Macaca mulatta: one gene and its partners. The protein of the gene in region 1 interacts with the protein of each later gene in a pairwise test. Links are inferred from orthologs where the notes say so. Each region holds a gene or a part of one and is shown in the gene's direction. Other genes may lie near its edges.

The links.
Region 2: the proteins of TRIM41 (region 1) and GPATCH2L interact in binary tests that used the Homo sapiens proteins (3 or more experiments, as listed by UniProt). The two-hybrid records come from large-scale screens. The link is inferred for Macaca mulatta from reciprocal best matches to the Homo sapiens genes TRIM41 and GPATCH2L.
Region 3: the proteins of TRIM41 (region 1) and ZBTB48 interact in binary tests that used the Homo sapiens proteins (3 or more experiments, as listed by UniProt). The two-hybrid records come from large-scale screens. The link is inferred for Macaca mulatta from reciprocal best matches to the Homo sapiens genes TRIM41 and ZBTB48.
Region 4: the proteins of TRIM41 (region 1) and FRA10AC1 interact in binary tests that used the Homo sapiens proteins (3 or more experiments, as listed by UniProt). The two-hybrid records come from large-scale screens. The link is inferred for Macaca mulatta from reciprocal best matches to the Homo sapiens genes TRIM41 and FRA10AC1.
Region 5: the proteins of TRIM41 (region 1) and MEOX2 interact in binary tests that used the Homo sapiens proteins (3 or more experiments, as listed by UniProt). The two-hybrid records come from large-scale screens. The link is inferred for Macaca mulatta from reciprocal best matches to the Homo sapiens genes TRIM41 and MEOX2.
Region 6: the proteins of TRIM41 (region 1) and EHHADH interact in binary tests that used the Homo sapiens proteins (3 or more experiments, as listed by UniProt). The two-hybrid records come from large-scale screens. The link is inferred for Macaca mulatta from reciprocal best matches to the Homo sapiens genes TRIM41 and EHHADH.
Region 7: the proteins of TRIM41 (region 1) and NCK2 interact in binary tests that used the Homo sapiens proteins (3 or more experiments, as listed by UniProt). The two-hybrid records come from large-scale screens. The link is inferred for Macaca mulatta from reciprocal best matches to the Homo sapiens genes TRIM41 and NCK2.

What each region holds. Positions count from the first base shown.
Region 1 is NC_133411.1:190,264,930-190,269,117, forward strand, and holds the start of TRIM41 (E3 ubiquitin-protein ligase TRIM41), read left to right. Parts: upstream 1-1,388; 5' UTR 1,389-1,812; coding exon 1,813-2,913; intron 2,914-4,188.
Region 2 is NC_133412.1:149,363,467-149,367,427, forward strand, and holds the start of GPATCH2L (G patch domain-containing protein 2-like), read left to right. Parts: upstream 1-1,161; 5' UTR 1,162-1,248; intron 1,249-3,631; 5' UTR 3,632-3,641; coding exon 3,642-3,961.
Region 3 is NC_133406.1:234,203,605-234,207,883, reverse strand, and holds the start of ZBTB48 (zinc finger and BTB domain-containing protein 48), read left to right. Parts: upstream 1-1,479; 5' UTR 1,480-1,611; intron 1,612-2,001; 5' UTR 2,002-2,070; coding exon 2,071-2,760; intron 2,761-3,562; coding exon 3,563-3,804; intron 3,805-4,279. Other genes in the region: TAS1R1 (taste receptor type 1 member 1), read left to right, coding at 111-1,042. UniProt on the Homo sapiens protein: Plays a critical role in transcriptional regulation and chromatin remodeling. Acts as a regulator of telomere length. Directly binds the telomeric double-stranded 5'-TTAGGG-3' repeat.
Region 4 is NC_133414.1:105,636,547-105,640,046, reverse strand, and holds part of FRA10AC1 (protein FRA10AC1), read left to right. Parts: intron 1-108; coding exon 109-192; intron 193-757; coding exon 758-842; intron 843-3,500. UniProt on the Homo sapiens protein: May be involved in pre-mRNA splicing.
Region 5 is NC_133408.1:112,640,795-112,644,294, forward strand, and holds part of MEOX2 (homeobox protein MOX-2), read left to right. Parts: intron 1-2,012; coding exon 2,013-2,185; intron 2,186-3,500. UniProt on the Homo sapiens protein: Mesodermal transcription factor that plays a key role in somitogenesis and somitogenesis and limb muscle differentiation. Required during limb development for normal appendicular muscle formation and for the normal regulation of myogenic genes.
Region 6 is NC_133407.1:97,414,896-97,419,013, reverse strand, and holds the start of EHHADH (peroxisomal bifunctional enzyme), read left to right. Parts: upstream 1-1,318; 5' UTR 1,319-1,345; coding exon 1,346-1,419; exon of another isoform or gene 1,420-1,541; intron 1,542-4,118. UniProt on the Homo sapiens protein: Peroxisomal trifunctional enzyme possessing 2-enoyl-CoA hydratase, 3-hydroxyacyl-CoA dehydrogenase, and delta 3, delta 2-enoyl-CoA isomerase activities. Catalyzes two of the four reactions of the long chain fatty acids peroxisomal beta-oxidation pathway.
Region 7 is NC_133418.1:13,989,773-13,993,272, forward strand, and holds part of NCK2 (cytoplasmic protein NCK2), read left to right. Parts: intron 1-3,084; coding exon 3,085-3,279; 3' UTR 3,280-3,500. UniProt on the Homo sapiens protein: Adapter protein which associates with tyrosine-phosphorylated growth factor receptors or their cellular substrates. Maintains low levels of EIF2S1 phosphorylation by promoting its dephosphorylation by PP1.

The sequences.
Region 1 (4,188 bases):
AGAAGATACCGTTCGTGCACTTAACTAACACGGCTTGCCTTACCCTTTCCAAAAGGAACTCCGCCCAACGTGGGGCTCGAACCCACGACCCTGAGATTAAGAGTCTCATGCTCTACCGACTGAGCTAGCCGGGCAGCTTGGCCAACGTTATAACTTTGTCTCTGAAGACGGAGGTTGCCCGCAGAGGTGTAGGCACGTTTCCACTGTACAAGTACTAAGAAGCGCCTGCGCCTGGCTCTGTTCTAGGTACTAGGGCCGAGGATCTGAAATCTACGGATTCCTTTGCATGTGATGGCTGCATAGGCTTCAGAAGGGAAGAGCAAGAGATTAGGTGAGGTGTAAAACCTGAATTTACACTGCGAGAATTTATTAAGGACGTGGTATGAGTTCGTGTTCCTCCGAAGCGCAGGCCACACATGTCCTTCCAACCGGGTGACCTGGCCTCGGGAGAGAAATTCTCCTGAACAGGCCCAAAAAAAACGTGTTTCCGCCCGGTTTCGAACCGGGGACCTTTCGCGTGTGAGGCGAACGTGATAACCACTACACTACGGAAACTGCCTGAGCTAACGTTCCTCCAGCATCGTCCTGAAGATACACGTGGCTGCGAAGGCCAGGAAGGCGCTAGGCCCTCGCCCTCGTGGGACAGACCCAGGGACCCCTGCCGCGGCCGGCTAAGTGGTGTCCAGGTTCTGGAGCCAGACTTGTCTACCGCAGCCGGGTCCGCAGCTCCTGTAATGGCCGAGCATAGTTCACCCACGAGTGTTCGTGGTTTTTGGCGCGTTTGATCTGACATCCTCAGAGGCCTGACCAGGCCCCTCTAGGAAGCACGACGTCCCCCTGGAGTTTTCCCGCGAGCCGCCTCTCCGAGAGCAGGGTAAGTAGGTCCTGCAGGCCCAGCCCTGGCGTCACGCCGTGTCTGGCACTCACTGGAGATTCTGTACATAAATCATTGCCTCGTCATTTTCCTCGCATCAAACAACATTTATTTGTTTTTTATTATGTATCGACATCAAATCTCTATAAAAATAAATTTTAAAGAGCTATTTAAGCACCAAGTATTATTTCTACTGCACAAAGCATCTATTTTTGCGGAGATGCTGTGCGAATGTAGATGTAATGATTCGTCACCACTTCTTTACTTCTGGGCAGTTAGGGAAGTTCATCTAAACCATGAGACTGTGTCCGGTTGGCAGTTTCCACCTTGGATGCGGAACGCCGACTACAGTTGGGGAAGGGTTGGGCGTCTGCGGCCCGATCGGCCAAGCGCTTTCTCAGGCCCCGCCCGGGGTCCGAGCCGTACGACCCTCTGAGTCCTCCACAACAAAGTCTTCTGCCTAGAAGGGCCGGAAGTACTTCAGGGCGCTCCGCGGACCCACCCCCTCGCTTCCGGCATTGGCGGTGCGGCGTACCGGCTGCAGTCGGCTGTGTCGGGAGGGTAGGATGGCGCCTGGCCGATGCGGTCATAGCACCGAAAGCAGACGGCCACCAAGCGCTCCCCCCACCCCCCGAAGTTTCTCCCCAGCGGCGGGGGATGGGGGTAGGCGGTTCCTCTGTTCTTTCTGCGTTCGCCGCGGTCCCGCACCACAGAGACGTGGGCCTCCACCGTCCTAGCCCTACCGCCCTGTTCTGTAGTGCGGGCTAGAGCGTCTCCTTGCCATTTCCTGTCGCCCTGGGGCCCCGCGGGGGAAAAAGGGGGAGTAGCACGACAGCGGAGGGAAGTCGAGAGCTTAGGTGGTGTGTAGACGCCGGAAGTATTGGGAAGGAGGCCGGAAGCTAGGGGCGGGGCCAGGAAGTGAGGAGGGGCGGGGGTTTATGAGGAGTCCAAGGAGCATAGGGGCAGATTTGCACTCAGAGCCACCTGAGGGACTTGGCGGTGGTGCCCAGCACTGTCCCCTCCCCTCGCAGAGACGCGGTTGTCGTTTGGGAGTAGGGAACACTGTGTGGCGGGGTGGGTTGGCGGGAGGACATCTCTCTGGCTGCCCTTGGGGCGAGGTGTGGAGGGGCAGGGCTGGGGGTGGAGCCGGGTCGCCAGGGCGTCGGTGGGGAAGACCCCCGCCCCTCGCCCCCCCACCGCACCTCTACACTGGCTGGCTGGACACTAAGATGGCTGCCGTTGCCATGACACCCAACCCTGTGCAGACCCTTCAGGAGGAGGCGGTGTGCGCCATCTGCCTCGATTACTTCACGGACCCCGTGTCCATCGGCTGCGGGCACAACTTCTGCCGAGTTTGTGTAACCCAGTTGTGGGGTGGGGAGGATGAGGAGGACAGAGATGAGTTAGATCGGGAGGAGGAGGAGGAGGACGGAGAGGAGGAGGAAGTGGAGGCTGTGGGGGCTGGCGCGGGGTGGGACACCCCCATGCGGGATGAAGACTACGAGGGTGACATGGAGGAGGAGGTCGAGGAGGAAGAAGAGGGTGTGTTCTGGACCAGTGGCATGAGCAGGTCCAGCTGGGACAACATGGACTATGTGTGGGAGGAGGAGGACGAAGAAGAAGACCTGGACTACTACCTGGGGGACATGGAGGAGGACCTGAGGGGGGAGGATGAGGAGGACGAGGAGGAAGTGCTGGAGGAGGATGAGGAAGAGGATCTAGACCCCGTCACCCCACTGCCCCCGCCTCCAGCCCCTCGGAGGTGCTTCACATGCCCCCAGTGCCGAAAGAGCTTTCCTCGGCGGAGCTTCCGCCCCAACCTGCAGCTGGCCAATATGGTCCAGGTGATTCGGCAGATGCACCCAACCCCTGGTCGAGGGAGCCGTGTGAGTGATCAGGGCATCTGTCCCAAACACCAAGAAGCCCTGAAGCTCTTCTGCGAGGTAGACGAAGAGGCCATCTGTGTGGTGTGCCGAGAATCCAGGAGCCACAAACAGCACAGCGTGGTGCCATTGGAGGAGGTGGTGCAGGAGTACAAGGTGAGAGAAGTACCGAGAGAAGATGGGAGTTTAGTCGGGGGCGGAGAGGAAGTAAGGGGAGCTGAGGAAAGGAAACATCTCTTCGCCCATCAAAGAACCTCATGGTATTGATGAGCTGAGTTTGCTTGTCTAAGCACTTACTGCCAGCAAGGTGGGTTAGAATGAGAAGGATTCTGTACGCAGAGCAGATGCAGTGAAGACGACCAGTCTTCATTTGCTTTGATGGCTTCCTCAAAGCCAATAGAGCAAAGCCGGTGATGCCAGATCAGGTCTCTAGAACTTTACCAGCAGTCTGGCTTGCTTTCTGGTGAGTCTTAAGTCTGTCCTTGACGGAGACACCTAGAGATGGAAAGAACTGGGGGCTTCAAAGGACAAGGAAAGGCTCGGAAGCAGGAACAGAGAGATAACCGCTAGTGTCAGTGTCAGACCCAAATGCCCTGCCCTTGCCTCCCAGTGGGTTCCCCACCCACCACGATGTGGTTTGGTTCTGCCTTCAAGGACTTTTGTTGGCTCTGTGTCACTCTTCTGTACTGACTAGAAAAGAGCTTTTCAGTCAGAAGACCTGGCTCTGCAAGTCGCACTGTCAAATCTTGTTTGTCTCTGTGTGTCTTTGAACTTTAATTTATCCAGGATTGATAGTTAATATTCTCTGGACATTTGTATGTATACCAGGCACTGTACTAGGCAATTTTCATGGACCGTCTCTTTAAAACCCAAACAACACTGTGAGTTTGATATGTTTTCCATTCCCATTTTATAGATTGGGAAAGAGAGTCAGAGGCTTTAAGTACCATACAGAGGACCACAGAGCTTCAGTAATAATTGACTTAGTTATTTGCTGACCCTTCCCCTGGTGTATACTAACAACGCCACCACCATTTGGATGTCTGTTGTTTGACTTTTCTGATGTGACTTTCTTGGAGTCTGATTCTAGTTTGACAAATATCTTGCCCCTACTTCTCATTTTGACTTTCCTTTGGACATAGGTAAAGGAGATTTGTCTGCAAGGCAGCCAGCACAAATAGCACTACTTAGTGAAGGCCTGGATGGGTTTGGAGCAGTGGGACCAGGAGGAGGAGAGGGTAGCCTCTGTGTGGTCTGCTCAGAGCTTGTTTGTTTTATGACTCATGTTTTCACACCTGATTTCCTGCCATAACTTCATTTAGGTACTGTTTTTGTTACCCCAATTTTAGAGTAATGTGTGTAGGACTTCTCAGCCCTGAGTGGTACAGCTAGACAAACCTACATTACTTCGTCACAAGTAACTATTGCTTC
Region 2 (3,961 bases), on another chromosome or scaffold:
AGATGGTCTCAATCCCCCGACCTCAGGTGATCTGCCCGACTTGGCCTCCCAAAGTGCTGGGTTTACAGGCATGAGCCGCCTCGCCCGGCCCGATAACGTTATTATTAACTAAAGTTGATACTTTATCCAGATTTCCTTAGTTTTTACCTAATGTTCTTTTTTTAATTGCAGTGTCACACCCAGGATACCGTATTACATTGTCATGCCTCCTCAGGCTTCTCCTGGCTCTGAGTTTCTTATACTTCCCTTACCTTTGCTGATCTTAACAATTTTGAAGAATACTGGTCATGTACTCTGCAGAATGTCCCTCAATTAGGGTTTGTCTGATTTGTTTCTTATAATTAGACTGGGTTATGAGATTTGTTAGGAAAGTAGCATAAAGTGCCATTCTCATCATATATCAGTCCACATACTATCAACATGATTTAGCACATAGTCTTGATCACCTGGCTGAATTACTGTTTGCCAGGTTTCCCCACTGTAAAATCACTCATTTTCCCCTTTACAGATGTTGTACTTTTGGGAAGGAAGTCACTATGCACAGCCCACATTTAAGGAGGTGGAAGTGATGCTCCAGGATGGCTGTCTACATAAGTTATTTGAGATTCTTCTGTGGGGGATTTATCTCTTCTTCCTCATTCGTTAATTTATTCAATCACTTATTTATATCGGTATGGGCTCATGAATATTTCTTTTATACTTTGAGTTATAATCCAATATCACTTGTTTTATTGCTCAAGGCAATTTGTAATGTTCTGAGTAACTCAGTGAAGAACCACCCCTCCCAATGTTTGTACCAGCTCACAGGGTAGACGTCATTAAGATCCTTTTCTCTTCAACTTCATAGGCCCATTAAAAAGGTCAGAAAGCAAGGGGGAAGCTGACACCCCTGCCTAGCGCCCAATTTCTGGACGCCCCTAAGGAAGATGAGGCCAGCATGCAGGGGTCTTTCCCCACATGGGCACCTCAACCCGTGAAACGCCCTTTCCCGGCCAGACCTTACTCAGCACCCCTCCTTGTCCCCTGCCCCATCTTCTGGCTTCCTGTGGCTCCGCCCACCACGGGGCGGAAGTGGGTGTGGCCACGGGCGGAAGCAATGGGTCAGGGGCCCAATCTTGCAGCCAGCCCCTCCCACTCGCCGCCGCCCCACCCCTCCGGCCCAGACCGGAAATGAGGTCAGAGAGGGAAGCCCTGGCGGTGAGAGTCGGCCCAAAAAGCGGCGGCCGTTGGAGGTGGCTGCGGCAGCTGGTGAGGGGGAGGAGTGGTTTTAGTGTTGGGGTCCTGGGGGCTAGTACCAGAGGGGATCGGAGCGCCAAGCCGCGGCTGAGCGGCTAAGGGCGTCTTGGGGCTGCGGCAGCTGGCCGGAGGGTGAGGGTGGTGGGGTCTTGCTTTTCAGGGCCCTTGTCCCCATCCCTGGGGATGTGGGTCGGGCCGTCTTCGGGGCCACAGCCCCCTCTTCCTCTTTCTTCTTTCTGCCTCTCTGGGGCTGGCGGCAGCGTGAGGGCTTGGTGTCCCGAGCCATGGTCGCCCCAGCCCTCAGGGACGGGCCGGGGCGAGGTGGAGAGTCCTTCGAAACACAGTTTTTCTCACATATGTGGCCGTGTTGCGACCCCCGATCCCGGAGGGAGCTCAGTCGCCACGACTTGCATTTTTTCAGTTTCTGCCCTAGAAGAGCCGACCCCCGCCCCTGGTGAGCCCAAATGAGAAGTTGCCTCCTGCCTCTCCCACCTCCTACTCCGCCCCTCACTTCCACCCTGCTCCTGTTTCTCTTCTTACTTGCTGTCCACCAGCTGCCCTACCCGTTCCTTCCTGTGCGTGACTCAGCCTCATCTCTACCCGGGTGCGTGCCTGGACGCCGGGTCCTCTCGAGAGTGTGCACCCGCGACTGGAGATGGGGGGAGCCCTAGGGTTCTTCTGTCACCCACTGTTCGAATTACAGGCTTTGAGGCAGGAAAGGATTCTGCACAAGCATTCGACTACCAGTTGTTTGGTGACTTCGTTCCGTGTTCAAGTTTGTGCTATTCTGCCTGAGGTTTTTATTTGTTATTATTATTATTTTTTTGTATTTTAGTTGCCTGAGTTTTTAAAGCAGTAATTCTTTATTAGGGAAGTAGATTTAGGCATGCTGTTCCCACTTGTTTCTTTATTTTGGTCTTAGGGACAGTTGTCTCCCAAACCTCAATCATGGCATTTTAATCCACTTTTTTTTTTTTTTTCCATTTTTTCCCCTTCTTTTCACAGCTGTTAATAAATCACTTCTTAATGCTTAAAAGAACTTGGTCTTGTTTAAATGTATGTGCCTTTGGACACTTTGAGAAGCTTCGTTTGTATGGTAGTTTTGGAAGTAGGTGTCACCATTGCTCCTACAGGTGTGGCAGATAAGCCCCAGGACTGTTTTCCTGTCTTTAAATTCATTGGCATAGGCACAGCGTGAAAACAGGTTTTAGAAAACCCTTTGCAAAGTGAAAACTGAATGAATGGGAATATGGTGAGAGAGCGGCACCACATAGAATTTTAACATGATATTGAAATACTTTGGGCATAGAGGCAAGGGAAAAGTGCTAAAAGTTTAATGTGTATTTAATTAGCTGCTATACAAATTAAACATTTCCCCTTAAGAGGGAATTTTGAAGATTGTTCCTACTACTCTCATTTGTTGAAATGTTTGCCTCTGAAGTGACTCCTGAAGTGTGATGTTTGGTTTGAGGATAAACAGAAAAATAAGAAATTTTGGAAAGCAGTTCAGCCAGAAATCTTAGAAACTTCACCCTATCCCTGTCATTTCAGCTGCTGTTGTATCCTATTTTTGTGTGATTGTGTGGCACTGAAGCACATAACTAGGACGGACATTCGGACATTTATTTTCTGAAGAGTAGGAGAGGGGCTTAAAAATTGTTAATTATTCAAAAATATATGACCTACTGTATAAGGTTCTATACCTGGTAGCTTCCAGGTGGTAGTTGGTACCAGAATGGGTGCAAACTTAGTCTCTTCTCCATTCTGACTTCAAACCTGGCCACTACAATTTCTTGGATCATGAAAACTGCATTCTTCCTTAAAGGGTATCACTAAGTTGTCTTTCTGTTTCTTTCTGCCATGGTCATTGTCAGCAGTGACCCCAGGCCAAAGAACAGTTTTTCATTCATTCTCAATACCTCGATGAGACCGTGTCCTGCTCTGTGTTTCTGCAACTCTAGTGTGATTTTGAAGTTGTATGTTTTTCTACTCCTGTCTAGTGAGACAGTCTCTAATCTTTCTGGATCTCATCATTAGGTAATTCAGTGACAAGTTTAACTGGGGAAAAGTGAGAAGGATCTAGTCCCCCGAATTTGTTTTGGGTCCTGTCCCAGTTGTCATCTGGTGAGTAGGTTTTTGTGCTTAAGAATATGTTGACTTCAGGCGTTTAACAAGGGACAAAACATCTATTTTTAGTGGCTTTAGGAAGTGGTAGGAACAGAATCTAAGTGTAGCCAGATGAAAGGTGACTTATTTCATTTAGACAGGCAGTACTGTGGACTACCATGATCTGTTTCATCAAATTATTCCGAAACAACAGATCCTTTTCAGGCTTTCTTTTTCTTTTTCTTTTCTTTCCCCCCCCCCCACCCCCCGCCAAACTTCCTTTTGGCAGATGTGGCCTCATGGATGAGCTGGTACACGACTTAGCCTCAGCCTTGGAGCAGACATCTGAGCAGAATAAGCTTGGTGAGCTGTGGGAGGAGATGGCCCTGAGCCCCCGGCAGCAGAGGAGGCAGCTTCGGAAACGCCGAGGTCGGAAGCGTCGTTCTGACTTCACTCACCTGGCAGAGCATACCTGCTGCTACAGCGAGGCCTCTGAGTCAAGTCTGGATGAGGCCACTAAGGACTGTCGAGAAGTGGCTCCCGTGACCAATTTTAGTGACTCTGATGACACAATGGTGGCCAAACGACACCCAGCTCTCAATGCCATTGTTAAGAGTAA
Region 3 (4,279 bases), on another chromosome or scaffold:
GCACAGTCTAGCTGCCTGGGTACAATTCTCCCAGTATCTTGCAGGCCCCTATTTCCTATTCCTACTCTGCTCATCTGGCTCTCAGGAACCTTCTTGGCCTTCCCTTTCAGACCTCTACAGATGCCAGCCTTGTGGGAAAGAAGAGTGGGCACCTGAGGGAAGCCAGACCTGCTTCCCACGCACTGTGGTGTTTTTGGCTTGTCAAGAGCACACCTCTTGGGTGCTGCTGGCAGCTAACACACTGCTGCTGCTGTTGCTGCTTGGGACTGCTGGCCTGTTTGCCTGGCACCTAGACACCCCTGTGGTGAGGTCAGCAGGGGGCCGCCTGTGCTTTCTTATGCTGGGCTCCCTGGCAGCAGGTAGCGGCAGCCTCTATGGCTTCTTTGGGGAGCCCACGAGGCCTGCATGCTTGCTGCGCCAGGCCCTCTTTGCCCTTGGTTTCACCATCTTCCTGTCCTGCCTGACAGTTCGCTCCTTCCAACTAATCATCATCTTCAAGTTTTCCGCCAAGGCACCTACCTTCTACCGCGTCTGGGTCCAAAACCATGGTGCTGGCCTGTTTGTGATGATCAGCTCAGCGGCTCAGCTGCTTATCTGTCTAACTTGGCTGGTGGTGTGGACTCCACTGCCCACTAGGGAATACCAGCGCTTCCCCCATCTGGTGATGCTTGAGTGCACAGAGGCCAACTCCCTGGGCTTCATACTGGCCTTTCTCTACAATGGCCTTCTCTCCATCAGTGCCTTTGCCTGCAGCTACCTGGGCAAGGACTTGCCAGAGAACTACAACGAGGCCAAATGTGTCACCTTCAGCCTGCTCTTCAACTTCATGTCCTGGATCGCCTTCTTCACCACGGCTAGTGTCTACGACGGCAAGTATCTGCCCGCGGTCAACATGCTGGCTGGGCTGAGCAGCCTGAGCAGCGGCTTCGGCGGGTATTTTCTGCCCAAGTGCTACGTGATCCTCTGCCGCCCAGACCTCAACAGCACAGAGCACTTCCAGGCCTCCATTCAGGACTACACGAGGCACCGCGGCTCCACCTGACCAGTGGGGTCAGCAGGCATAGCTGGTAGCTTTCTCTGTCCTGAGGGTCGAAGGTCAAGCAGGCCAGGGCTGTTTGGGAGGCCTTTGGGCACCTCAGTCTGGGGTTGGGACGTGTAAGCGCCCGGGAGAGCCCAGACCAGGCTCCGGGCTGCCAATAAAGAAGTGAAATGCGTATCTGGTCTCCTGTCGGGGAAGAGGGTGAGGTGCCGCGGATTCAAGTCTGAACCCAGAACCTGGAAAAGGCTTGGTGCCCAGCTTGACGTTGCTAGGCAACCCCGGAGGCGGGCCCAGCGCCAAAAGAACAGGGCGTGGCCTCATCCCCTCATCCCATTGGCCGTTCTCTGCGGGGCCCCGCCCTCGGGTGCCGGAGCTAGAAGATCTACGCTTCCGAGGCGCCCCTCCTGGCCGGCACGCTCTGACGTCACGTCCGGCGCGGAGACGGCTGCGTCTCCGCACGGTCGGCGGGGCACGCATAGCCGGGCAGTTGGTTCGTGGGCTGTGGAGGCGACGGAGCCGGGGGCTGGTGGGGCCAGCTCAGGGAGGACCTGCCTGGGTGAGGAGGGCACGAGGTGAGGGAGGGAGGGGCTGCGGGCCGCCGTGGCTGCCTTCCGCTCGGCCGCTCGGGACCTGTGGGCGCGGCGTGGGCTCCGCTTACCTGTCCGCGGCCGCCGTCCTCCCCAGTCCAGGATCCTCTCACTGTGCCAGGCCAGTCAGTTCGCGCTCATCCCGTGCCTTCTTTCCCCAAACTTGGATTTTTCCCACCAGGCCCTTCTTCATGACCCTGACCCCCCCATCAGCATCCCCCCTGGCCAACCCAATATGGCCCCCGGTCCCCGGGAGGCTGTCAAGTATGTTCCTGCCTTCCGCGTGCACCCCTCACCTTGACCCAAGCCCTCGTGCTGATAAATGTGATTATTTGAGTGGAGGCCAACTTCCCCTTTCTCTCTCTTCGACTCCAGGGGCTTTCTCTTGCATACGCTCGCTTGGGCTGGCCAGGGTGTCACTTCTGCCTCCCTGCCCTCCAGACCATGGACGGCTCCTTCGTCCAGCACAGTGTGAGGGTTCTGCAGGAGCTCAACAAGCAGCGGGAGAAGGGCCAGTACTGCGACGCCACTCTGGACGTTGGGGGCCTGGTGTTTAAGGCGCACTGGAGTGTCCTTGCCTGCTGCAGCCACTTCTTCCAGAGCCTCTACGGGGATGGCTCAGGAGGTAGTGTCGTCCTCCCTGCTGGCTTCGCTGAGATCTTTGGCCTCTTGTTGGACTTTTTCTACACTGGTCACCTCGCTCTCACCTCAGGGAACCGGGATCAGGTGCTCCTGGCAGCCAGGGAGTTGCGAGTGCCAGAGGCCGTAGAGCTGTGCCAGAGCTTCAAGCCCAAAACTTCAGTGGGACAGGCAGCAGGTGGCCAGAGTGGGCTGGGGCCCCCTGCCTCCCAGAATGTGAACAGCCTCCTCAAGGAGCCGGCAGGCTTGCAAGAAGAGGAAGTTTCGAGGACTCTGGGTCTAGTCCCCAGAGATCAGGAGCCCAGAGGCAGTCATAGTCCTCAGAGGCCCCAGCTCCATTCCCCAGCTCAGAGAGAGAGTCCCTCCTCCCTCTGTGGGAAACTCAAGCAGGCCTTGAAGCCTTGTTCCCCCGAGGACAAGGAACCTGAGGACTGCAAAATGCCTCCAAGGCCCTTCGAGGCTGAAGGTGGCCAGCTGCAGGGCGGGAGTAATGAGGTACTGTGCCCAGGGTGCTGGGACTGGGGAGACAAATGGAGGGAATAGACACTTTTTTTGGTATAATAGGGACCCTGGGCTGGGTGTGATGGCTCATTCACGTGAGTGGTTCAAGTGGAGGACGACAGGGATGGACGAAGTCTATTTGTAATCCTAGCACTTTGGGAGGCCAGGGTGGGTGTGGATCACTTGAGCTTGGGAGTTCGAGACCAGCCTGGGCAACATGGCGAGGCCTCATCTGTACAAAGAAAATACAAAAATTAGCCGAGTGTGGTGGCACACACCTGTAATCCTAGCTACTTGGGAGGGTGAGGTGGGAGGATCACTTGAGCCCAGGAAGTGGAGGTTGCAATGAGCTGAGATGGTGCCACTACGCTGTAGCCTAGGCGACAGAGCAAGACCCTGTCTCAAAAAAAAAAAAAGTGGACCTTAAGACAATCTCTGTTAATGTGGGTTTGGAACGGGCTTTCTCCAAACAAAGGAAGCTGGTGATCTCAGGCTGACCTTTCTGCAAGCCCCAGCTATTCATGGTTGCCACCTTCCTGAGAGGAGTGGGCAGCATCAGGGTTACAGGTGTTTCCCCAGGATAGTGTTTCCATCCGAGCTTCCAGTTCCCCACAAATACAGTCACTTTCCTCTGAATCCAAGACTCAGATGCTCTGCCTTGGGCCCCTGAAGGAACAGTGTCTGATGAAGGGACTTGTCAGGGTTGGGGCTTGGGATGGAACTGGAGCTGGGTCCCTACAACTCCTGCTGATTCATTTGGTGACCCCACCCCCTCCTGCTGCCTATTGTGCTCTAGTGGGAAGTGGTGGTTCAAGTGGAGGACGACGGGGATGGTGATTACATGTCTGAGCCTGAGGCTGTGCTGACCAGGAGGAAGTCAAATGTAATCCGAAAGGCCTGTGCAGCTGAGCCAGCCCTGAGTGCGGGCTCCCTAGCAGCTGAGCCTGCTGAGAACAGAAAAGGTACAGCGGTGCCGGTCGAATGCCCCACATGTCATAAAAAGTTCCTCAGCAAATATTATCTAAAAGTCCACAACAGGTAAACTTTCTGTTTTTCTATTTTCCTGTCTGCCATTCCCGCGTTGGGGGAGGGGTCTTGCACGTCCCACTTCTGGGTGAGGTAGGGGCTGGGGGATCCATCTCAGACCCACATAGTGCCTGGCCTTGGCACACCTCTGGCAATCAGGAAGTGAGAGTCTGCTTTGGGTTAGATTCTTCTTCCTCACTGTCCTGTGAGTACTGTGGTTGGAGATGGGTTTGTGGACATCTTGTCAACAGGTTCCACCCACTGTGGACCTTGACCTTCAGCTGGCCTCTGCGGACAGAATGAGAAACCTGTGGCCCGTGTGCTAGAGCTGAGGCCCAACCTTAGGTGTTTCTGAAGCCCGGCAGTGTGGGCTTGAAGCCTGGCAGTGTGGGCTTTGGGCCACAATGCTGAGCCTTGGGTCAGTGCTACCTGTGTTTCCAGGGAAGTGTTCACTCTGGGGTGTCAGTGGAGTATTAAAGTCCAGTTG
Region 4 (3,500 bases), on another chromosome or scaffold:
ATTCATGTATTATATTTTTAATAAAATTTTCCAAAACTCACAGAGCTATTTAACCTAAATTTGACTACTTTTGTTTTTGTATTAAATTGAAAAAGTTCTGTTTTCCAGGGAAAATGACAAGACAGACTTGGATGTTATACGAGAAAATCATAGATTCCTATGGAATGAGGAGGACGAAATGGACATGACTTGGTAATTAGCCATCAGAGGCATAATGCATCAAATGCTTTAGTCCTGTTTCTCCTGTTTTCTGAGTGGTTTTTTGTCACTTAGTCAAGGTGTTCAGCCCCTTCATAGAACAGTTCAGAATCAAGGACATAAAATCATACCTAGGATTATTTGGTTCTTTTGGTAATTTTTGGCAGTTTTAACTGACTTCTCAGTGTTTGACTTAGTCTTCAAAAACATTATTTTTTACAGTATTGTGTGTTATCTTGTAATATGCTATTATATGCTGCTGCTTTAATTTTTAAAGTTTTGGAGAAAAGTCATACCTGAAAATGTTTTTTTAAATCCAAACATTACAAAGGGTAAACAGTGAAGAGTGATTCTCCTTCTCATTTGTGACTGTCATTCTCCAGTTTCCCTCCCTGAGTGAACCACTTTTAATAGTTAGTATCCAGATATTCCATGCACATGTAAGTAATAGTTCTCTTAAAACTTTAATATTTACGTCGTATGTATTCTTTGACATCACTTGAAAGTAGCAAACCGTGGTTGAGTTTCTAAATGTATATTTATATTTTTATGGATCTAGGGAGAAGAGACTTGCTAAGAAATACTATGATAAATTATTTAAGGAATACTGCATAGCAGATCTCAGTAAATATAAAGAAAATAAGGTATGCTTTCCACATATTTATAGAAAGAGGTTCTTATTCAAGTAAAATATTAACTTTTATTATACTGTCATGTCCCCCCTCCACATTATTCTTTTAAAGATGCTAATTCTAGACTCAGTTGTCCTGCATTTATGATGTGTCATTTGGACCATTTAACCTCTGCAGCTGTGGAGTTTACAAAAGGCCTATGGAAATTTAGAAGGAAATTTATGCTTTTTTTCTTTTGTGAGCTGAGGCATGAAAAGTCTAAAATTAAACACAAGTGGGTATTGGATCCTGTTTCATCCTGACTCTAGTCTAGAGCCTCTAGTGATTGTGATGAATGATTTAACTCTACAGAATAATATCTTATTTCACAGATGATGTTTGAAATTGATAGATTTTAAAAATTGATTACCATTTATAGAGATCCAGATGTACATCTTCTATTATGTAAATGTCTATTCTAGTAAAATTAACATTTCAATCAGTGCTAATTAGTAATGTCAGATTTCCTTTCCCACTTTACATCTTACTTTAGTTAATATTTTTATTTTTGGTTGGGTATGATGGCTCATGCCTGTAATCTCAGCACTTTGGGAGGCGGAGGCAGGAAGATTGCTTGAGGCCAGGAGTTCAAGACCAGCCTGGGCAATATAGTGAGACCTTGTCTCCACAAAAACTGGAAAAAATTAGCGGGGTACCGTGGTTCATGCCTATAGTTCTAGCTGCTTGGGAGGCTGAGGTTAGAGGGTTGCTTGAGTCCAGGAGTTTGAGGCTGCAGTGAGCTATGATCGTGCCACTGCATTTCAGTGTGGGTGACAGTGAGACTCTAAAAAATAAAAAGTTATTTTTATTTCTATCTCAAACGTCAAATTGTGGCTGGAAAAGGTGACCCAGGAGCAGATCTCAGTTAGAAATGTGAGAGGAGGGAAGGTTGCATAAATATGTGTTGTAGATACTGTATATTTGTATTAAGACAAAAACCTGTTTAAAAAGCTATCTTATATTTATGTATCATGAAGATTTCTTGTCATTTAAATCGTTTGATCTCATTAGAACCAGGTTGATTTAATAATTTTTTCAGTAGTGCCTTTAATAAGTGTGTTGCTTCACAGTTTCTTATAGAAAGTAGTAATAATGTTCATTTTGTATACCCTATTTATAAACCCATGCACTTAATATATCCCCAAAACTTCTGTTTCTTATAAACTAGTTGTGGACTCTAGTTCACAGCTGTCTTCTCTGTACCACATCTGATTCAAAAAGCACCACAGTAATTGGAGTTACCTAAAGTTACTATATTGTAAATCAAGTGTGAAAATTATCTCTTTCTAGGAGCATGTAACAAAGGAGCTTTTTCAGCCCTGGCTTATTCATGGATTGTTCTTAAGTTGTTGGGGTTTTTTTTCTTTTTTTCTTTTATTTTTCCCCACCTCCTATTACCATCATAATTCTTCAGTATTTTGTTGTTGTTGTTGTTCAGTATCTATTGAAACTGGACTAGGTACTGTGGATTAATAGTACTCTTAAGAAAAAACTAGTCTAGTTGAGGGGAGAAAATATACATAAATAAAAATTAAATAATTGAGTTCTCAGTTTTTTAAAAAAGAATACCACTAAAAATTGTACTTTAAAGAGAATAAGCTTGAAAAAAAATGTATTTTCCTGCTAAAACATGATGAGTGATTGTATTTGAGGGTAAATGCAGCAAGAAATCAGATATGACTCACAGATTCTGAGCACGGATGCTGAGAAAAATACAGAATTTGAAGGGTGATTTTTTTTGCTGGGGGGGAAGATAATGAGTTTGGTTTTGGTATACCATGTTCGAGGTGTTGGAGAAAGAGTAATGCCTTTGGTTCCCTCACTAGGATGCATTTTCTCTTCCCTTTATTTATACAAAGACAGTGTATTATTCACTTAATTAAAAACAGCTCCTAATATATACAGTAGATTCTTTTAGAGCATTTTTAGTGAATTTCCATCTTTGCCTCTTACTCCTATTCCTTTCTTTATTGCATTTCCCCTTTTTAGTTGGATCAATGTATCAGTTAGGATTAGGTCCAGCTGCAGGGACAGAGAACACTCCCCGAAAAAAACCACTGGCTTGAATGAGCTGGAAAGTTTATTTTTCGTATACATAAAAGTTCAAGTCGATGGTCATAAAGTCAGAATCCTTGTTTACTGCTTGCGTACGTGACCTCATTGTGATGAGTGCAGAGTGAGAAGAAGAGGCTCAGCACCAAATCCTGAATAACTTCAACTTTAATCCAAACTAGGACATTTATGTCAGGAAAGAATATACAGTCTTTAACTAGTAGGATATAATGTAATTTGTTTTGTTACATTTATTATTTCCTCATAAGATTATAACCTTCTTGGTGACACACTATTTTAATAATCACTTTTTATCCTCAGTGGAATGCCAAGCCCATTAGGTAGTTGCTTCGTAAGTTATCTGGTGAATAGATTAATGAATGAAGAAGTTTGGAAACTATTACTGTTACACTTGGCTGTGCTTCAGTAGACATCCTCACATATGTTGGATGCAAGCAATCTCCACATACATATATAGGCTAAAAAATAGAATTAAACAGAGTTATCCTGAAATTTTATTTTTTCCCCTAGATTTGGAGGATTTTATTTTTGTTGGGTTTTAATCAGAATATTTTAAAA
Region 5 (3,500 bases), on another chromosome or scaffold:
TCACCTGAGAACATGAATGCTTGTGAGAGGATCTTGTTATATGAATATTCTGTACTGTAACAGTTCGCAGGCTGCAAGAACAGCCCACGGAAAAGTTAAAAAAATAATCAATCATTTGGAAATGTTCATGCAATGCCAGAATAGCTAAATGCTCCACCAGTGTGGATGTTGACATATCTGTAGCTAGAGAAAATTGGATGATAGACTGCAGTTTCCATCCTCACAGCCAGGTAAGTTGGTACCATGTAAACATGGCCTATCTGAGAGTACACACATCATCTCTTATGTCACTTTCCCGGTCCCAGTGGCTTTCTATAAAGTGCAGTCAGCCTGTGCATGACATGTCACAAACTACTTTTGTGCTGGATAAAGCCCCACGTGCCCTGCTAAGGTGAGAAGCTAGCTGATACAGGGGTAAGTGACAAGCCCAGAAATGTGGTCAGTGAATGAAGAGCTTTAGATAGTGCCAGTGCACCAGTGAGTGAAACACTCTGTGATCCATCAGAGGATAAGTAATGACCAGTGTGCCAAGTTGTTGAGGCAACTTATTGCTGCTGCTGCTGCTACTAGACCTAAAAAACCTTACATCTGGCTCACTTAGATACTTCTAAGAATCAAAATAAAAGTGTTTACGTTACAGTGCCTTGTCTAGTGAATTTCCATTATGCAGGTTCTCTTTAGTTCAGTTAAACATCCCTCAGGCAGATAGAAAGAAGTAGAACACTAAAAAATTCATTTTTGTACTTCTTAGCATATTTAAGCATCGTTGCACAAAAAAAAAAAAAAACACCCATAATGTAAAAAGATCCTGTATAAGCCATGCAGTATTACATTTGTCAATTAAAAAAACAATTAAAATGTCACTCTTTGAAACCTTTGGTTAATGATGATCTTTCTACACCAATTTTGTATCATCTGGGCTCCTAGAAGAGTTAATTGTATTCATACTTTTTAAAGATATCACAGCTTGTTTGTACATGTGCAAAAATAATTAGATACCAGAAATAATTTTCAGGAGAGCATTAATGTGCTCCTTTATCTTGATTATGTTGATATTTCACTGAGGATAAATTTGCCATAAGTTACTAGAGCTGGGTATGATTACTTTTTACTTGGCGTGTGTGTTTACTATTGATTCACATTCTGTTTTTTCGTATATTAAGAATATCTTCTGACCTACATTTCAGGGGTACTATGAGGGTGAAAGAAATTCTATATATTAATTAAGTCTTGAACCCTTAAGAGGAAAAATGGAATGATATGCTCAAAATTGTTATTGGTATTTTATACTGCATTATAAGATTTGATGTTGTGGATCACTGATGGTACGTGTTGTACATCTCAAGTTTATCTTATATGTAATGAAAAACACATTGAAAAACTCTGTTCATAGTTTAAGTCATACGAACACAATTTCATTTATAGAGTCCATGTTGGACTAAGTATTATATATAATAAAAGAACATTGCTATTGCCCTCAATAATTTTACTTAAATACAGATAAAAAGACCAATAAGTACACACATACTTCTACATATGCTCAGTTTGAGTATAAAATTTTTTATGGTCCAGTTGCTGAATGTTTGAATTTCTCAAATACTCATGTACTAGATGCCACTTTTTAAAGGATTACTATGTTCAATCTTACTTAGACCTCAAGTACGTATGCTCAACAACTTATGAAACAAAACTTCATATCTAAAATTGTTTTCTAGAGAGGTTTTGGTTTATCTTAAAATCATATTACAAGCAGTTAGAAGTTTTGTTAATATTTTATAAGAGGAAAATTACATGCTTTCCCAATTAGGTTGTGAGTTACCTGAAGGAAGATGAGAAAAATAAGAAACATATCTCCCCCTGTTGAGTTGCCATCAGTCTTACTGTCTTTGGTCTATATTTGTTCCATGTCTTGTGCGGAACCTGGAAAAGTAGTAACTCAATAATTGTGAATGATATGATTGCATGTGTTTGAATAAATGAGTTATTACCAATTCTGTCTCACTTTTTTTCAGACTCCCAGGAAGGAAATTACAAGTCAGAAGTCAACAGCAAACCCAGGAAAGAAAGGACAGCATTTACCAAAGAGCAAATCAGAGAACTTGAAGCAGAATTTGCCCATCATAATTATCTCACCAGACTGAGGCGATACGAGATAGCAGTGAATCTGGATCTCACTGAAAGACAGGTAAAGCTGGACATTGTCATTATATGATCTTTTTTAATTGCTCTGGGTCCACAGTTTTCTTTGCCATATTTGAAATACCTAGATCCAGAATTCTTCAATACCATTTGGAAGACAGGTATACTATTCCATGATAAAATTTTGCCAGCAAAATGACAAAATTAAAAATAATATAATGATATTTAAAAGAAAACCATACTTACTGAGTTTAAGAAAGAATCCTCCTATGATTATGATCCTTCTGTATTTTTTGGTTTTAAAATATTATTTCTTTTACATAATGATGGCATACAGTGAGGAACTGTGTATGCTTATATGCTAAAATCTCCTTATTTGGCATATGAGAAAGTTGGTAACCCCAGATTAGTTTTCTGTATTGCTCAGGATAGGGTATGTTACCCTGCAGTAACACGTTCACCCGTAAACCTCAATGGCGTAACACAAAAATATTCATTACTTACTCACTCTCCATACAAACTCTACATGTCCAGCATTCCAGATAATCGCTCACAGACCCATTCTGACTCTTTAACATCTCAACATGTGGTGTCTGTGGTAACTACAAGAAATAAGAAAGAATTGGAAGTTTATGCACTGACCTTTAAATGTTTTCACCTGGAAATTACCCATGTCACTTCTATTTACACACTGATGTCTAGAAGAGTCAAATGGTGCAGCTTAGGTGCAAGATGGCTGGGAAATGATGAAAGGCAAGGTCACATAGATCATTGGTAAATATTTCTGCCCCATTACCCAAAATATTTTTGAAATTGAATGGCTCTCAGATATTGAAAAATCTGCTATCCACTTAGAGAATATTTTGAAATTATTAATGTTTTTGGACTCTAATTAATGAGACCTAAATAATATTTTTAAATTAATTGCTTTTCAGGTCCCTTTCTTGCATTTTTTTAAATGACAAATGATTTGTTCTAAGAGTCTTCCCAGTGAACTCCTTGTACAGATTCTGGTTTCCCCAAGGAGAATCTAGCCTACTGCCGGTTAACAGTTGCTAATCTTTACAAAAACATTCCTGAAAGGCGAATGCAAACATCTTTATGGACAGTGCAGTTATGATTGGCACTCTTAGGGCTAGAGTCTCATTTCCTCTTTCACTGTGTGTACCTCCTCCAGGATCCCATTGGAACCAAAGAAATATCAACAGGGTGTGGACAAATGAATGCATGTCTTACTAGAGCAAATTATTTTATCCAATTTCTTAAATAATCTGCTTTCCTTCTGTTAATTTTTACATTTCAGCTTTGGTAGGTTATTTATGGGTAGTAGAAATATGCAGAGGAACACTTTTCTCTGGTTT
Region 6 (4,118 bases), on another chromosome or scaffold:
TATACGCTTCTGTTGCTTTGTTTTTTCCTTGCTTTGTTTGTGTGTTTTGTCCAATTCTTTGTTCAAAACACCAAGAACCTGGACAACTTGCAGTCCAGACCCTCCTCTAGTAACAATGTTATATAAGTATTTAGTTGATGTTAATCACTGGATGAGTTCTTCCTGCCTGCTGCACAAACAAAATCAATTCAGGAAGTCTACAGTATTGCAGTAAGGAAAGAATTTAATTGATGTGAGGCTGGCCACGCCACATGGGAGATGGAGTTATTACTCAAATCAATCTCATCGAAGGCTAGTAGGTTAGGGGTTTTTCAAAGGTAGTTTGGTGGGCAGGGGCTAGAGTATGGAAAGTGCTGACTGGGTTGGAAATGAAATCATAGGGGGTTGAAGTTATCCTCTTGTGCTGAGTTGCTTATGGGTGGGGCCACAGGAGAGGTGGACTGGTCCAGGTGGAGCCATCAGTGTCAGGCATGCAAAAATCCTGAAAAAATGCCTCAAAAGGCCAAACTTAGGTTCTACAATAGCGATGTTATCTGCAGGAGTAAATGGGGGTTGTCTGTTTGGTGGCCTCCGGAGTAATTGCTGGCAATGGTCTCTGTCTACACCTTAGCAGACAGAATTCACACTCCTCTATCCTCCTAGCCTGGTGGTCTCTCAGCTTTACAAAGGCAGTCGAGTTTTGGGGAATAGCTATTATCATTTAAACTATAAACTAAATGTCTCCCGAAGTTAACTTGGCCTGAGCTCAGGAATAATTAAGGGCAGCTAAAGGCAAGATGGAGTTGGTTAAATCAGATCTCTTTCACTGCCATAATTTTCTCAGTGTTAGAATTTTTGCAAAGGCTGTTTCATTAGTACCCTACTCATTTAGGTGAAATGAACAATGTGTATTTTATGTGTTCCAGATGTGTATCAATATCACATAACTGTCAGGGCCCCAGGTATCTGTCCCTGGTTCAGAAAGATCATGAAGATGAATACCGCGATGCGGACAGCTTGCCCGACTCAGCGAACTCAGAACTTGTCCTCAGTAGCCAGCCCCTATGGGCCAAGGGGTTGCAAACTTCCACTTGCCGGCAATTACACCTGTTTCCATCATTCTCCTTGCTGTACCTTGTGGTGGGAGCAGCTTGGGAGTCAATCAAGAGAAAGCGACAAGCGTCTGGAGAGCGCGGGGTGGGGTCTCTGGAGAGGAGGGCTGGGTGGGAAGAGGCGCGGCGGGAGGCGGCGCCCCGGCTCGCATTGGCCCAGTCGGCGTCCCTCCTCTGGGGGCGGCCGGGCGCGCCCGGAAAAGTGGCTTTGCCTGGCGGCGAGAGGCAGAGGTGCCCTCGGTAATAGAAGAAACATGGCCGAGTATACGCGGCTGCACAACGCCTTGGCGCTGATCCGCCTCCGAAACCCGCCGGTCAACGCGATCAGGTAACGTGCTCGGTCGCCTCCAGCCCGGGGACCGTGCGGGCCTTACCCGCCCTCCGGCTCCGGAGGCTTTGACTCTCCCCCGCTGGTTTAAACCGAGAAGGACACTCCGAGTTGAGCAACTGGTACATGCCAGGAGCCCTTTTTTTTCTTTTTCTTTCTTTTCTTTTCTTTCTTTCTTTCTTTTTTTTTTTAACCTAGATTAGCTTGGTTAATCTTCGTAGAGAACTCTCGTCCCCGTTTTGCTGATAAAGAAACTGAGGCTGAGACAGATCAGCACTCAGGGAGTTGGCCTTGACCTGTTCCTTCATGCAGAGTCCTCCTGCTTACTTGCAACTTTGGCTTTGCAGGTCGACTTTCTAATCCAAAGGTCTTAACTTAGTTCGATGTTGAACTTTGATCCAACCTCACTCCCCAACTTTGAGTCCAGGCTGCCCTTACAATGTTTGGCTAAAGGCTTTAGGAATAGGGCAGTAAAATGGTTTAACATTTAAAAATAATAGTAAAAGTCCCACTAATGCCAGCGCAGTGATTAAAGCAGAATTGTGCCCTGGTCCAGAAACGCAAAATTATTTCTCCTGATTTGTTTGAACCTCAGGACTTTGGTGCTTCCGAGGAAGACTCACATCAGACTAAGCCTATGTAATAGCATTTTCTGAAAAACTGCACCTTGTCTTCTTTTTCTCACTGGGAAGTATTTGCCTTGTGTGGTGCACTTAAAACATTGAAAAGTGAGATCAATGTTGCTTTTTTGAAAAGTAATGAAGTTATTCGGTTTGGTCATTCTACATCTCTTTAAAAAAGTAGTTATACATCAGCCTTGAAAAAGAATTACCTATCCACAGGGAATAAGATTAGTGGAAATCATAATTTACCAAGAATATATAAAGCATAGAGAGAAAGGTCTTTAGTCAAAATTCTTATCACATACTGCTGAAGCAAAGAGACTGAAATGAGAAGACCTGCTAATTTTAATACAATTTAAAAATCCTACTGTCATCAGATTTGATTTATCATTAGTATTAATATTAATTCAATGTGAATTATTACATTTAATAATGCCAAAAAAATGCAGGACTAAAATCACATAAGGATGACATGTCTACTAACTTGCCATTCCCAGAATAAAAAGCAAAATATCTGTTATGTTGGTTTTGACAAAGAAAAATGTAAGTAATTTGATTACTTGTCCATTTTGGACTGGTCTATATACTGATTAGAATTGCTAGATACTAGGACCTTAGTGGGAAAAGTTCCATACTCTAATACCCATGACTAGGAATGTTTTCTGACAACTGTTCGTTTTTTTTTTTTTTTTTTTAGTTTATTTGTTTGTTTTGGACGGAGTCTTGCTCTGTCACCAGGCTGGAGTGCAGTGGTGTGATCTCGGCTCACTGCAACCTCTGCCTCCCAGGTTCAAGTGATTCCCCTGCCTCAGCGTACTGAGTAGCTGGGCCTACAGGTGTGCACCACCAGACCCAGCTAATTTTTTGTATTTTAGTAGAGACAGGGTTTCACCATGTTGACCAGGATGGTCTCAATCTCCTGACCTCGTGATCCACCCACCTCGGCCTCCCAAAGTGCTGGGATTACAGGCGTGAGCCACGTGCCCAGCCTCTGACAACTGTTTTAAATGTTTCTGGAATTTAACCTGCTCTCCCTGCCCACCCATGCAACTGCCTGTGCCACCCCCAGCCCCTTTGCAGGAGAAATGTTAGGGCCTACCTCATAAAGTTGTGAAGTTTAAATCAGCTGGAAATTATAAAGTGGCATTTAATAGATGTTAGTTATCATTCCTATTAGTCAGAAGACCTATTCAAGCCCCTGACAACAGGCCCTGCTACTCAGGACCCACTTCAGTTTCATCAAGAAGATATTCTCCACTTGGGAATAAGTACTTCTCTGCCCTTTTTCGTCTGTCTTCTGAACTTTTTTTAGGTAGAAATGTACATCCTAAGAGTTCCTCAAGTTTAACAGATTCCTCAATTTTTTTATTACACTTTTCTTTCTTTCCTCCCTTTCTTCCTTTTCCCCTTCCTATTTCTAATTTTATATGGGAAGTTGTATCTTCCTAGCTGATTGAGAGATTCTTACTTGAGTGTAACACACACACATACACACACACATATATGTAAATTTTTTCCCCAAAACAAATAGTTTAAATCCTTCATTGCTAGTTTAGCAGCCATGTTTGCTTCCATTCAGATAAACACCAGCCCCCTTTATAAGCGTAGGACAGGCCTGATTAATAGGCCTGTCTCCCAGAACAATGGCTTTCATACTATTGCTTTACTGTAATCCACAGACTAAGAAAGCTCACGTTTTTACATAGCAATTCAAGATACACTTACATACAAACACGTAACTGAAAACAGTTTTCTAAAACAAAACCTATCCTTACTTGGTGTATTGTTTGATACAGTCTATTTTCTCTTCTTGTCCTTTGAAAAAATCCTGGTCACAAGCCACAAACTTGATTGGATGACGTTTGGTTAAAAAAAAAAAAAACTGTCTGAAAAAAAAAGAAAGACCTCCTATAGTCAAAGAAGCTGAAGAGTTTTGGTCAGTAGTCATGAAATGCTGTCTCTACTCCAGATTCTATTTCCTTATGCCTGACAGTATTAACAGGAAAAATAATTTCGTAACCTCTGCGGCCTTTACATTGCTGTGACTCTCTCTGTCAGCCTGAATCTAGTAAAGTG
Region 7 (3,500 bases), on another chromosome or scaffold:
TAGAAAGTCATCTGTTGATCATTTGGCTTAATTAAAATTGGGAGTATCATATATTTACCATGATTCACTCCCATACTGCCTCCACTAAAAATGATGCCACTTTATCTCTAAGTTGAGCCTGGCTGATAGTAAACTCTGTGAGACTGCCCTTCATGTTTTCCTAAAGGCACAGACTTCTAGTACAGAATATACATCTTTACAGAATATTAATCATCTATAGGCTGAGGCCTAATCTGAGATTAACCTTCTGATTTCTTCCTGGAGTTTCATCCAGGAGCATGCCCTGGGCCTCACATGGCGATGAGATGGGGCTTTTCCCCTCAAAGGTTTGTTCTTATTTGGTCTATTTGGGACAAAGGTATGCATAAATACAAACTATGCTTACAATTGTTCCTTTCATTCTTTTCTGTTAACAGCTGTGGCTGGTGGGTGAGCCCAGCTGCCTTGCACAATTCGAGTCTTCTCAGGCACTCATTCCCCTCAGTTGTCATTGGTATAAATGGAGTGATTCCTTGTTTTGCAAGGGTTGCACACTTCTTATCAAACATATTTGGGCTTTTGTGAACTCTGTAATAGACAATGGCCTAGGCCTTTGTTAACTGTCTCAGGTCCTGCTGGGAGGTCGCAGAGCGGGGTCGAACTGCTGGACCCTCAGAGCAGGAAGTTCCTGGGCTTTGAGAAAAGCAGAAAGCTGGTCTGGGAATTCCATTAAAAATTTCAGATGTTAGGCTGTGGTCCTGCCACTGGCCAGGCATGAACCTGGTGCTAGCTACCAAGCCAGTGGGTAGAGGATTTACCTTGTTTGGGGTCAGTGAGGCTTCTTAACAGCGGGATAGCCTTTGAGCTGAGCCTTAAGGGAACAGTTGATCATGAGGAGACAGAAGATGGCCCCAAGAACACCACGAACAGGAGTGACATTGGGACTGGGGGTGGGAAATCCTTTAGTCTGATGGATTGGAACTACAGGCAGAGGCCAGTTGGGTAGGTGAATTTTACTCTTGGGCCCTTGAGGGAGACCAGACTCCCTCCTCCACTCCACCAGCCACACTGCCTCTTTAGTGCCACAGAACAGGACCTGCTTCCCTTTCTTCACCAAGGTGCCAATTTCCCGAGCAGTCTCTACCAGCCCTGCCTCGGAGAGCACAGGCTCAGCTCCACATTGTCCAGAGGGCTCTCCTGCCCCCCAGTGCATACCTGTGTGTGCACATACATTCATACATTCATACACATGCACTCACACGCTACACATACTCTCACACACCCTCAATACTCACATACTCCCTCTCATATCTGCACACACTCACACACAGAGCTCTGGTACCTCTTGCTCCTCTCTCATGCAACTCTGTTTTTTGTTGTTGTTGTTTTCTTTTTTTTTTTTTTTTCATAGAACTTACTGCCCTATGCAGCCATCTGTCCACCTCTATTTATCTGCTCCCCACACTGGATTGTCACAGAGCATTTGTCCTGCATGCACACACACGTATCCAGGGTACCGCCTGCCTGGCATGTGTTAGTAACTAATTGTTATTCATTTAATGAATTGATCAAAACTTGATATTTTTGTACAAAGAATATTTATCATTTAGTATCTTCTTTCCTGCATGTTTTTCACCAAATGAGATAAAAGACCTCTCTCTCTCTCTTTCTCTCTGTCTCTCTCTATATATATACACACATTTTTTTTGTTTGTTTTTGAGATGGAGTTTCTCTGTTGTCGCCCAGACCAGAGTGCAGTGGTGTGATCTTGGCTCACTGCAACTTCCACCTCCCGGGTTCAAGCGATTCTCTTGCCTCAGCCTCCCAAGTAGCTGGGATTACAGGCACGTACCACCATGCCTGGCTAATTTTGTATTTTTAGTATAGATGAGGTTTCACCATGTTGACCAGGCTGGTCTCAAAGTCCTGACCACAGGTGATCCACCTGCCTCAGCTGCCCAAATTGCTGAGATTACAGGCATGAGCCACTGCACCTGGCCAATAAAAGATGCATTTTGATTAAAATAATGACATGTTTCTAAAATATTCTGAAATGTAAGGCACTGACATCACAGAATTTAAATATTTTTCAATAAAATCTATAATCAAACCATAGTTCAGCTTCCTCTGGGATATTGTGAACTAAGTTTAAAATGCATCTGGAATTTTCCACTGCTGTTCATATTTTCAAATGCTTAGAATTAGAAAAATTAGCCAGGCGTGGTGGCACATCGGGAGGCCGAGGCAGGAGAATCTGCTTGAACCCGGGAGGCAGAGGTTGCAGTGAGCCAAGATCGCACCACTGCATTGCAGCCTGGGCAATAAGAGCGAAACTCCATCTCAAAAAAAAAAAAAGAATTAGAAAAATTTTGACGTCTTAATTTCTAATAGTGTTAGACATCAGAAATAGTAAAATTTCTAGCCACTGCCTGCATACAAACCACTCTTAATAAATTCCCAATTTATCAAAAAATAGTTTGGGAAATGAAAAACAGCAAATTTCTTCAGCAGTCAGGGCAACACTGTATATTCCATAATGAGTTTGCACTTTTCAAATAACTAAAACGCATTTAGCACTGAAACTGGGCTAAGCAGAATTTATTTTTTCTTTGGTTCAGAATTTCAGAATCATGGACTGCCTCCAGGTCTTTCTGAACATCAGATGCCGTTCTAGATATAAAACAGAGACCTGGCCGGGCGTGGTGGCTCATGCGTGTAATCCCAGCACTTTGGAATGCTGAGGCGGGGAGGTGGGGCAATCACCTGAGGTCAGGAGTTCAAGACCAGCCTGGCCAACATGGCGAAACCCCGTCTCTACTAAAAATACAAATATTAGCTGGGCGTGGTGGCGGGCGCCTGTAATCCCAGCTACTCCAGGAGAATGGCTTGAACCTGGGAGGCGGAGGTTGCAGTGAGCCTAGATTGCGCCACTACACTCCAGCCTGGGCAAAAGAGTGAAACTCCGTCTCAGAACAAACAAAAAACCAGAGACCCAGCGTTTGAGCAATGGGTGGTTTGGATTTAGACACACAGGAGATGTGGATGGATTTAGACACAGCTCCCAGCTGTGGGCCTGGCTGTAACTGTGTTCTGTTTCCTCCCCAGCCCAGCGACTTCTCCGTGTCCCTTAAAGCGTCAGGGAAGAACAAACACTTCAAGGTGCAGCTCGTGGACAATGTCTACTGCATTGGGCAGCGGCGCTTCCACACCATGGACGAGCTGGTGGAGCACTACAAAAAGGCGCCCATCTTCACCAGCGAGCACGGGGAGAAGCTCTACCTCGTCAGGGCTCTGCAGTGACGGCGCCCCGGCCCCACACTCGCCTCCCGGGCCCCACGGTGGAGCTGCCCGCCCGGCCTTGTGGCAGAGGCTCCTCCCGTGGGGGCGGCGGCCCCGACGGCTTCTACGCGAGTCTCTTTATGTTCAGGTCGCTTGGTCGGTTTGTCTCCCATTCGCCATCCAGGCCTAACACCCACACTCGAACCCACCCGGCCGGCCAGCTTTAGAGGAGGGGAGGAGAG